Linked DNA regions of Rattus norvegicus. The protein of the gene in region 2 purifies or fractionates together with the protein of the main gene of each other region. This does not show direct contact. Links are inferred from orthologs where the notes say so. Each region holds a gene or a part of one and is shown on either strand. Other genes may lie near its edges. The genes, in order: Fen1, Rad1 and Hus1b.

Evidence for each region.
Region 1: the proteins of Rad1 (region 2) and Fen1 purify together in Homo sapiens (affinity purification with western blotting; 3 studies listed by BioGRID). This does not show direct contact. The link is inferred for Rattus norvegicus from reciprocal best matches to the Homo sapiens genes RAD1 and FEN1.
Region 3: the proteins of Rad1 (region 2) and Hus1b purify together in Homo sapiens (co-immunoprecipitation; 3 studies listed by BioGRID and IntAct, counting the BioPlex papers as one, with this or other methods). This does not show direct contact. The link is inferred for Rattus norvegicus from reciprocal best matches to the Homo sapiens genes RAD1 and HUS1B.

What each region holds. Positions count from the first base shown.
Region 1 is NC_086019.1:216,269,418-216,271,610, forward strand, and holds the end of Fen1 (flap endonuclease 1), read right to left. Parts: coding exon 1,374-2,193; 3' UTR 599-1,373; downstream 1-598. UniProt on the Homo sapiens protein: Structure-specific nuclease with 5'-flap endonuclease and 5'-3' exonuclease activities involved in DNA replication and repair.
Region 2 is NC_086020.1:61,187,434-61,191,741, forward strand, and holds the start of Rad1 (cell cycle checkpoint protein RAD1), read left to right. Parts: upstream 1-1,375; 5' UTR 1,376-1,620; intron 1,621-1,839; 5' UTR 1,840-1,904; coding exon 1,905-2,102; intron 2,103-3,546; coding exon 3,547-3,655; intron 3,656-4,308. UniProt on the Homo sapiens protein: Component of the 9-1-1 cell-cycle checkpoint response complex that plays a major role in DNA repair. The 9-1-1 complex is recruited to DNA lesion upon damage by the RAD17-replication factor C (RFC) clamp loader complex.
Region 3 is NC_086035.1:33,741,190-33,744,496, reverse strand, and holds Hus1b (checkpoint protein HUS1B), read right to left. Parts: upstream 1,808-3,307; 5' UTR 1,727-1,807; coding exon 896-1,726; 3' UTR 640-895; downstream 1-639.

The DNA.
Region 1 (2,193 bases), on a different chromosome or scaffold from region 2:
CCTAAGTGTACTAGTACTTAGAAACTTCCAACAGTTCTCCCTGATCACATGAAATCTCAAAAAGAACAAGGCTTCTTTTACTTACTTACTTGTTTTATTGGTTTGTCAAGACAGGATTTGTGTAGCCCTGGCTGTCCTAGAACCTGCTCTGTAGACCAGGCTGACTTGAACTTGGAGACTGACCTGTCTCAGCCACCTGGACGCACTGAAGGCGTGCCCCACCAGCACCTGGTGGGACAAGGTCTCTGAATGGCAAGTGTTTATCAAGTGACCTATCGAAATGCCTGGATGTTATGAGATAGTTTATCTAAGTAACAAGACTGTTCCAGGGGACTCCTTTATCTCAGACTGGTGAACATGTGAAATTCAGCCAAGCTATTCAAACTCCTGAAGTACGAAAGGCTGGTGCTACCACTGCTGCTGTGGCCACATGACATGGGTACAGCGCCACCTTGTGGTCACTCCTAAACAAACACTCGCTACCAGGGCAATCCCAGGCTATTGGGGATTTAAGAGGGGAAAGAAGACCATTCTATTTATTCTACAGGAAACTAAAACACTCAGGGCATTCTCAAACATTCAGAAAGCCACATTCTGATCGCTTTTATAATTTTATTGTTTTTTTTCTTCACATCTTTTAAAATAGAAACAGCCCATGAACAAGTTTTTTCTTCCAAAACCTCAATTAAATTGACTGCCTCAGAAAGGCCATCACTTGGAGCCTCAGAACATCACTTGGAGCTACAGGTCAGTGGTACACTTAATGCCTTTGCCCTGGGTTCAATTCCCAACACTGGAGAGGGGAGGCACAAAACCAAACACTACAAACCTAAACCTAAACACTGTGTTTTCACTCCCTTGCGCAACTACTGGGCTCACCAGACAGCAAGTCCACAAAACAGCCAGTCAGTATTAAATCTGTTGTCGCCAGACTCCTCTGTTTCTCTTTGCGGCTCTCTCATCAGCTAATCCCAGACTGATGGCTGTCTTCCAGGGCACAGTGAAATTAGAAAGAGCAGTCGCCAGCCGCGCTCTAGTCACCTGTCCCCCACCAGCTGGCCAGCTGGGAAATTACCTCCTACTCTCTCCCTGCCTTATCTTCTCCCTTAAAATACTGCTAGCAGTTGCACAGAGCAACGGACAGGGTCCATTAACCTGAGAAGTGGTTTGAGCCTGACATCTTTCCTGAGCTAAAAATGAGGAAAAGCAGAGCTACGGGCTTCCTGACACAGGGTCAAGCGAGGGAAAGCTCTGAAGGGCAGCGCTGGGAAGCAATGAACTTGTCCTCAAGACGCAGGGCGAGAGGGATGTGCTCTAGCTGAGGGTACAAAACACTGTCCTGGGGCCAAGGGACAGTGGAGGGAAGGACACATTTATTTTCCCCTTCTGAACTTTCCTGCTCCCCCAGTCTTTGCTTTCTTCTTGGCAGGCCCCTTGGGCTCTGGCTCCTTGCGCTTGGCTGAGGAGAGTGAGCCTGTCACCTTGAAGAAATCATCTAGGCGTCCCTGGGTGCTGCCTTGGCGGCTCTTATTCAGCCGTTTGACCCCACTACGAATCCGCTCCTCAGAAAACTGCTTTTCACCGCACATAAATTTGACCAACTCTTCTTCGTTTGGCTCACTCCACTTCAGCTCCACAGACTCTGGGTCCAGTACTTCCGGCTCCAGGAAGAGCTGCCGGGCTTCCTTGTGGAGCCAGTTTTCCGGAACAGGGTACTTGCTGGGATCCAGCCGCCTCACGATCTCCTCGATGCTCTTGTGCTTCTGGATGAGGTCCACAGCCCGCTTGGGTCCAATGCCACGGACACTCTCACAGTAGTCGCTACCCAGCAGGATGCACAGATCCACAAACTGCTCCTGGTTCAGACCCAGCTCTTGCAGGACGCGGCTCAGGTGGAACTCTTGGATGGGCAGCTTCTTGGCCTCACTGGCAGTTAAGTGTCGCATTAGCACGGGGCTGCCAAAAGTGAGGCAGTCCATGTCCTCCGTGGCTGCGGCATAGACTTTGCCAGCCTTTGCCAGGGCAGCACAGCTGGCCTCTGCCTCGCTGGGCGCATCAAGGTATGGGATGCCCATGAGGCTCAGCAGGTGTTTGCACTCATCGTTGTGTTGCTTGGTGACCTTCACAAGCCGCTTGGTGAACTTTTCCACCTCCTCCTCTGCCCCCGCCTCCTGAGCCTGCTGCAGCTGCTTC
Region 2 (4,308 bases):
ATCATAGTGTGACTCAGATTACAGTTCCCAACATGTTTCTGTCTGACTCCTAAAAGAGAGCACTGACTTTTATTGAAAACCTTATGAGTCCAGCTTATTTTTCGAAAAAGTCACTTTTATCCTTTCAGACAAGGGTATGAGATTTAGCTGTTAATTAAAACTGGGGTACAATATACACTGGCCTTTCACATTTACTTTTTACTTAGTACTAGAGTACTACACTAAGCACAAAGGTCAGAAAAGTCTGAGGCAAGATTTCCTCCATAAATATACCTTGCTTAAGGAGTTTTCAGGTGACGGAAAGTAACTCTAACAAGAACCTGCTCGCCTTTAGAATAAACCCAGTTTTCTATGAAGCCTTCTTTCCTGCTAAACTCCAGTATTTCTGGAGGAAAGAAATCTTGTTCATCGTCTCCTAGATGCCAAGGCCAGGAAAGCTCATCTTGGTATAAGTGTGACGCACTGTTGAGCACAGTAAAATTAATGGTCTAAGTTTATTATTATTGATAATATTATTATCCCGGGGTTGAGGATTTAGCTCAGTGGTAGAGAGCTTGCCTAGCAAGCGCAAGGCCCTGGGTTCAGTCCCCAGCTCCGAAAAAAAAAAAAAAAATACTATTATCCTTTGAATTAAAGATCTAACCAAACAAGTTGGACTCACAGGGACAGTAACTTTAAAGGCTTGGCAAACAAACTTTGGTAACCCCGTGTGATATGGACCAAGATGGAAGGAATTTATTGATACACCATAAAGACTTTGAGGAAAAAAAGAAAAAGAAAAAACATTACTCTGGGGAGGCGGGGGACCAGTAACCGGAAGGCAGAATATTAGAACTAAATACTCATTAAATTACCTCCCTGTTAGTTGGCTAAGGGTCTACGAACAGCGGTTTCCAGGAATACGGCCATCTGCACGAAAACTAGACATAACACTGTCCTGTCCAGTCAAGGGAACCTTAAGCTCATAATCCAGTCAAGTTTTGGTTGAAGTCACTTCGGTAGCTCAAAGGCGGGTCAGGAAGCCGACTCCAACTCCAGGAGTCGGGCCTCTTACCTTGCAAACAGGACCTGGAATACGATCTTTTTCTTCCTCCGCCTCTTTTGCCACATCGGCCTGCTTAGCTGGCTGCCCGGCATCTTTCCGGTTCTTTTTTGGCTTCTTTGCTTGAACCTCCAGGTCCCCACGCCGCTTTCTCTTAGTCGCCGCCATCCTGCCTCGCCGCGTTAGTTGCTGTCCACACTTCCGGTTCCGCCGCTCGCTCCTTCTTCCGATCTCTATGGTAGTGCACGCTGAGCCCTGAGTTAGTCATCCAGCTCTCAGACGCTTTCTTCCGGTCTTGTGGTAGACTATCTAGGCACCCGGCGGCTCGGTGGTGACGGTGGCCTGGTTGGCTGCGGGTCTGAACAGTGGCGGGAGCTGTTTGCCAGGCTTGCTGGCTTCTGGATTCTCAGGGTGTTCTTCTTGGGGCTAGGCTGACAAGGGCTTTACGGGATCGGACGTCACCTCAAAGGCAGGGGCCTGGCGCCCGGGGCTCCCCTTAGTGGCCGCTGTGCGGCGAGCGGGCTGGTGAGCTGGGTGACGGTCGGCGCCGCGGTCTAAGGTGTCTGTGGCGGGCTAAGGTTGGTGGCGCTCAGAGGGGCTAAGCAGGCCTCGTGCTCTTGTTACCCTGTAGGAACCCGCGCCAATTAGAACTACCCAGTGAATTGCATTTTCCGGCTGTATCAGACAAGGAAACCGTAGTTTTGAGACATGGAGATAGAATGTTCCCGATTTCGGCTCGGGTTGAGATCGCCAGTCCTGTTAGCACTGATCGCGGGGTTTGTTGTTCCGTGTCTCAGGTTTTCGGAGATCTTCCGGAAGAGGAGCATCCTTCTCTCTGAGCTGAACGTACAGTGGTCCACCCATGCCTCTCCTAACCCAGTACAATGAGGATGAGTACGAACAGTACTGCTTAGTGGCCAGCCTTGACAACGTTAGGAATCTCTCCACTGTCTTGAAAGCCATTCACTTCAAAGAACACGCCACGTGTTTTGCTACTAAAAATGGAATCAAGGTTACCGTGGAAAATGCAAAGTGTGTGCAAGCCAATGCCTTTATTCAGGTATGGGGGAGTGGAGACATTTTTAAGCATTCCCTAACGAGTTTAACTTGAAGGACTTATTCCATAAAACTCAAGTTAGAGAACAAAATGCCTACTTTTTTCTTTCCTGCCAACAAATACTTTCCCCATCTTGTCTCACACAGATGAACGATTACTAGTGACAGTTTATTAATGAGACACTCATCACCATTTACCTTTTATAGACACTTTATCTTTCCTATTTGACATAAGTGGCACCAGACTTAATTTTCAATAGTCTTATTTAGTTAGGATAACAACCGAGAATGTTTACTCTTTACAATATAATTATTGAAATGCATGTTTTAGTTTTTCCTCTTACTGGCTGTAATAGCATTTTTCCCCCCGAGGCAGTCTAACATATGGCCCTGGTTACCTGGAACTTGCTTTTGTAGACTAGATCGACTTCAAGTTCTTGGAGATCAGCCTGCTTCTGCCTTGTATTGAAGTACTGGCATCAAAGCCCCACCATCACCCACAGCTATAATCTATTCTTATGTAGTATTTGTATGAGTCAGGTCGGAGCTCAATGTTCAATTCATGTTTTTGAACGCTTGAGTATAGTATCAACTCACAATTATGTAGGAATAAATAAAACATGGTTTCTGTTTTCAAAAGAAATTGGAAATAATTATCATGCATGCATTATTAAATTGTCCTATCCTGAAGTGACTTTAGCTTTAACTGATAGGCACAAAAGACAAAGTTAGGATAAACTTAGTGGATTTAGATCCAGAAATGAAAATGAAGGACCCTTGCTGAGAGGGGTTGTCTTTGTGGTTTTTTATTTGGTTTTGGTTTTTACTTTTTAATTTTATGTGTAAGAATGTTTTATCTGCATGAATGTCTGCAAAAGGCATGTGCCTGGTTCCTGCCCAACCCAGAAGAGGGTGTTGGGTCACCATGGTGAACTATATTACTACTACTACTATTACTATTACTGCTATTACTACTACTACTACTATTACTACTACTACTATTACTACTACTATTGTTGTGGCATAAACATTTATTATGGTTAAATTGGTTACAGATGGTTTTGAGTCACCATGTGGGTGCTGGAAATCAAACGTGTTTTCTGGAAGTGTAGCAAGTGTACTTAACTGATGAGCCATCTCTCCTACTCCCTTTTAACCAAAAAAAAAATTCATACAATATATTTTCATCATATCCTACCCCTACCCCCTTCAGGAGCTTCTAAATGGGGCCTTAGTGTTACACCTTTAATGATTAAACCATCAAGTAGTATTCAAGTGATAAACATTGCAAAGTTAGCATGCCTTAGTTGGGAATGAGAAATAGTCTCATGGAGTTGGCACAGTATGGTTACTTTCTAAGCATAAAGTGAAATGTAAACTCTCATGTGTGAATTTTTCATTCCTTACTATGACCTCACTTTCATGTTTGCATGTTTGTTCTTTCCTAGGCTGATGTATTTCAAGAATTTATCATTCAGGAAGAATCCGTTACTTTTCGAATTAACTTAACTATCCTTTTAGACTGTTTATCTATTTTTGGATCAAGTCCTACACCAGGTGAACTATATTTCTACTACTACTACTATTATTACTACTACTACTACTGTTGTTGTGGCATAAACATTTATTATGGTTAAAAGCATAGAAAATACAGTAAGACTTCTGGGATATGAGCTTTTCTATGTTTTATTTATTTTTGGAGGCAGTCTTATGTATCCCAGCCTGGCCTTGAGCAGTCTGTATAACTGAGGATGACCTTGAACTTACCTTCCAGCCTTTGCCTCGACTGAGGAGATGATAAAGATAGGCAGCCACCTGTAGTTTTATGTGGTATTGGGGATTGAAACTAGCACTTAGTACATGTTAGCCAAGCTCTCTACTATAGCTGAGCTACAGCCCCAAGCCAGCCAATCCTTTGTTAGAAATCTAATTGCTCAGGGAAGACCTGGGGTCCCACTCCTAGTGGAGCTTTTGGCAGCTGGGAGCAGAGGAGAAAATCATTTCTTTGGAGGTCCTAGGGAGGGAACATTAACCTTAACCCTAACCCTAATAAGTAGACCCTAATAATTAGGGTGTGGATTTGTTTACATGGATTAAAATTTCAAAGAATAAAGGGAAACTAATTCTCAGCTCATTTTCCTCCCACTGATGACAATCATAAACATAAATATTCAGACTGCCAGATGAGTATTTGTTTACAGTTCTTTACA
Region 3 (3,307 bases), on a different chromosome or scaffold from region 2:
GCTTTTTTAGAGGAAGTATGTCATAGGACTTTGGGGTTTTAAAACCACATGCCATTCCCAGTTAAAGCTCTGCTTCATACATAAAATCTAGGGTTTGAGCTCTTAGCTATTCCTGTACCATAACTGTCATATGCTGCCAAGATTCCCTACCATGATGTATTCTTATTGCTCAAAATACCGTAAGCCAGAAAACCCTTCTTTCTGTAAGTTGCATTTGTCATTGTGTTTAAGCTTACTAACAGAATCACAAAGCATGCCTGTGTTACACCACAGACACACACACATACACATAGCCTGAAGATGCTGAAGCTTTCCCAAAACAGCTTTTACATATAGTCCTCACACTTAAATAGTCACCAAACCAAACAATCCTATGCTTCCAACTCAGAAGTGAGAAAGTAAATTGTTTGAGAGTTTAAACTCTCTAAAGTGGCTATTCCCCAGTAATGTTAAGACTTCCACTGAGAACCTTCAGAAAACAGTTATCTCTGAATATATGATATACATACAAAAATTCATCTTATACCTTTAGAGACTGAGATCATTAAGTCTCTCAAAATAATTTATGATTATTTTAAAAGGAGAAATTTCTCATTCTTCACAATATTTTTCATAAAAAATAATATAATTGTTTCAGGATTCAGTTAATTGTTTTATTACAATCCTTTATTCCCAAACAACTAAGTTGAATGTAAGGTAATGGTCAAAGCCAAAAAGCAATCACATGAACTTGCAATTATTTCTTAACAATTTACAAAGGAAGCACTCAACAAAATCAACACCCTACAAAATCCACAGGGTTGCAAGCTTTTAACGAAAGTAACTCAAAGTCTCAGTTCTGGAAAGAACTTAAATTAAGATTTCTTTTAAAAAGAAAATTAAGGCTGCTTGAAATTCATGAGGCAGGAATAAAATACTGAAGAGAAATATCTTCGTGAACCAAAACAAGATGAAGTAGGGTATTGCTCAAAATATTACATAAGGCCATTGTGGGGTTTATCTGCTGTCCGTCAAAAAACCGTAGAAGTTTCCTATTATCCACCCGTACTTGTACCATGTTGTCTGGGTCTTTGCCTTGAGACATACCCAGAACGGCATTTGGAGGACTTCCAAGATTTCTAAAATAGCTTTTAATAGTCACTCCATCAGTTTCTACACTCAAGTTCATTTTGCCTTTTAGATTTGCTTCCACCAGCACGTGACTGCCCACATTTGCCATCCTTTCCACCATGTTCTTCAAGGTCTTCATAGCAGGCAGATAAACACTCACGTCAGAGCCCCGAACATGGGGCTCTGTGCATTCTTTCCACCACCTTCTGGGAAGTACCCTCACAGGCAGATCGTGGACCATAGCGCGGGTGTGGCCGGGGCACGATGCCAGCTCTACCACCACAGTAAGGCAGGGGCGCAGCTTGTTGGTGAGCTGCAGCTTCAGGGATGAAGCGTTGCTTGCATTCCTCACGGCTCTGGCCAGATGCTCAGACGTTAGCTCTAGATAGATTTCATTGAACTCCTGCGAAACACCCTCCATGCAGAAGTGGTGGAAGACATTCCGCCTCACCTCACCCCACAGCTTGGCCTCACTCAGCAGCCCCATTGGACAGAAGCACAGCCTGTCAGGGCACACGCGGAGCACACAGACCTTCGTCAGCTTTGCTATGGTGCTGTTGACCTGTATGAAGAGCTCTATAAAACGCTTGCTGGTGATCCTGGCCCGAAACTTCATGGGGCCTAGGTGGTAGAGGGAGCGCTGTGAGGAAACCGCTGCCAGAGTAGTCAGCTGGCTCACTCTTCCGGCCCGGAGTGTAACATGCTTAACCTTCCGGCCTGGGGCGCAACCGCCTCACCTACCATGCCTGGGGTGCGTTCTACTGCGCCTCCCCCCTGCCCCAGCACTGCCTATACTTGGGTTCCACATCCCTGCAGGTCCACTTCCACCTGAGGACACCTAGGTCAAACACTATAGGGTGATGCTTAGGGCGGTCTCTGGACCCATCTTTACCTTCCCACATACCTGCCCTATTTGAATACGTCACTGCTTCTGATCTGCTCATAAGAAGGTCACTCTATATAGTGTGACCACAATTTAAAGTACCACTGAAATAACCAACCCTTTTAAAACATTTGTTACATATATATACCTAATATATATTATAGTTTTGTTCAGTACAGATATTACTTGCAGATGTTAGTTACTACATGCCTTATAAACAATGTGATACACTAGACACATTTTATTTGCACCTAAAATACATACATAATGGATATCATTCCATACCATTAAACACTAACAAGTCTATCATTTTCATGGCTAGTTTCCCAGTATATTGATAAAAATAATTATTTCACAAGAGGAATTCACATGATTCAATTTTGACCTATTACTGGAATAATAAACATCTGTTATACAAAATACATTTACTTTTGTCAGTATTTACTTGTGTTAAATTTAAAGGGGAACTCTTGGTCATAGCATGTACATATAAAACTCTTCTGTTACCAAACTGTCCCAGAGAAAATTCTATCAACATACCTTCTGTCAGTAGCGTCATATAACAATCTATTTTGTATGTAGTGATATGATAAGTAGAATAACATGGCTTCAACTTGCAATGTATGTATGTCAACTTTACATTCCTTGTATGTAGTTTGTTGCTTGCTTTTTAAGATCTCTGATAGGACCAGGCTGGTGACACGTACCAATAATTTCAACACTGGGGCCAAAGGCAAGAAGGAAGGATCACAAGTTTAAGGAAAGTTAGAGTTACATTCTGGGCCAGTCAGAGCTATACAGTGAGATTTTTTATCTCAAATAAATAAATTAATAACAAAAGAATAAAAACTCTGGCAAGAACATTAACCCTCTGTCCCTGTAAATATGGTCCAGATAAGTCTTTGGTTTTCATATTATTTATGATGTTCTTTGCCCTTAAGAAAATACTACATCTGTGTATGTGAAATGTATTTGTCTTTTCTCTGGTGCTCCTGGAGTCCTGACCCATGTGAAATACAGAGGATGCAGCTGGAACTTCTATATTTATTCTATTACAGCAGGATGTCTGCTCGGCTCCTTCTTCAACTAGGCAGGGCCTCCAAGATGATGGCCCAAGTCTCTGACTAAGGTGTCTTAGAGACCAGGATCTGACTGGTTTCTTCATCTTACTCCTGGCCCAAAGCAAGTCCTCAATTTCATCCCAATCTTAGCTTGAAGGCAGCAGCATCTCAGCTAGGAAGTCAGAACAATCAGTTGCTTCTGTAAACTTTCAGTTCCTCTTTTGTCTTATTTACTGTTCCATTGCCGTGAAGA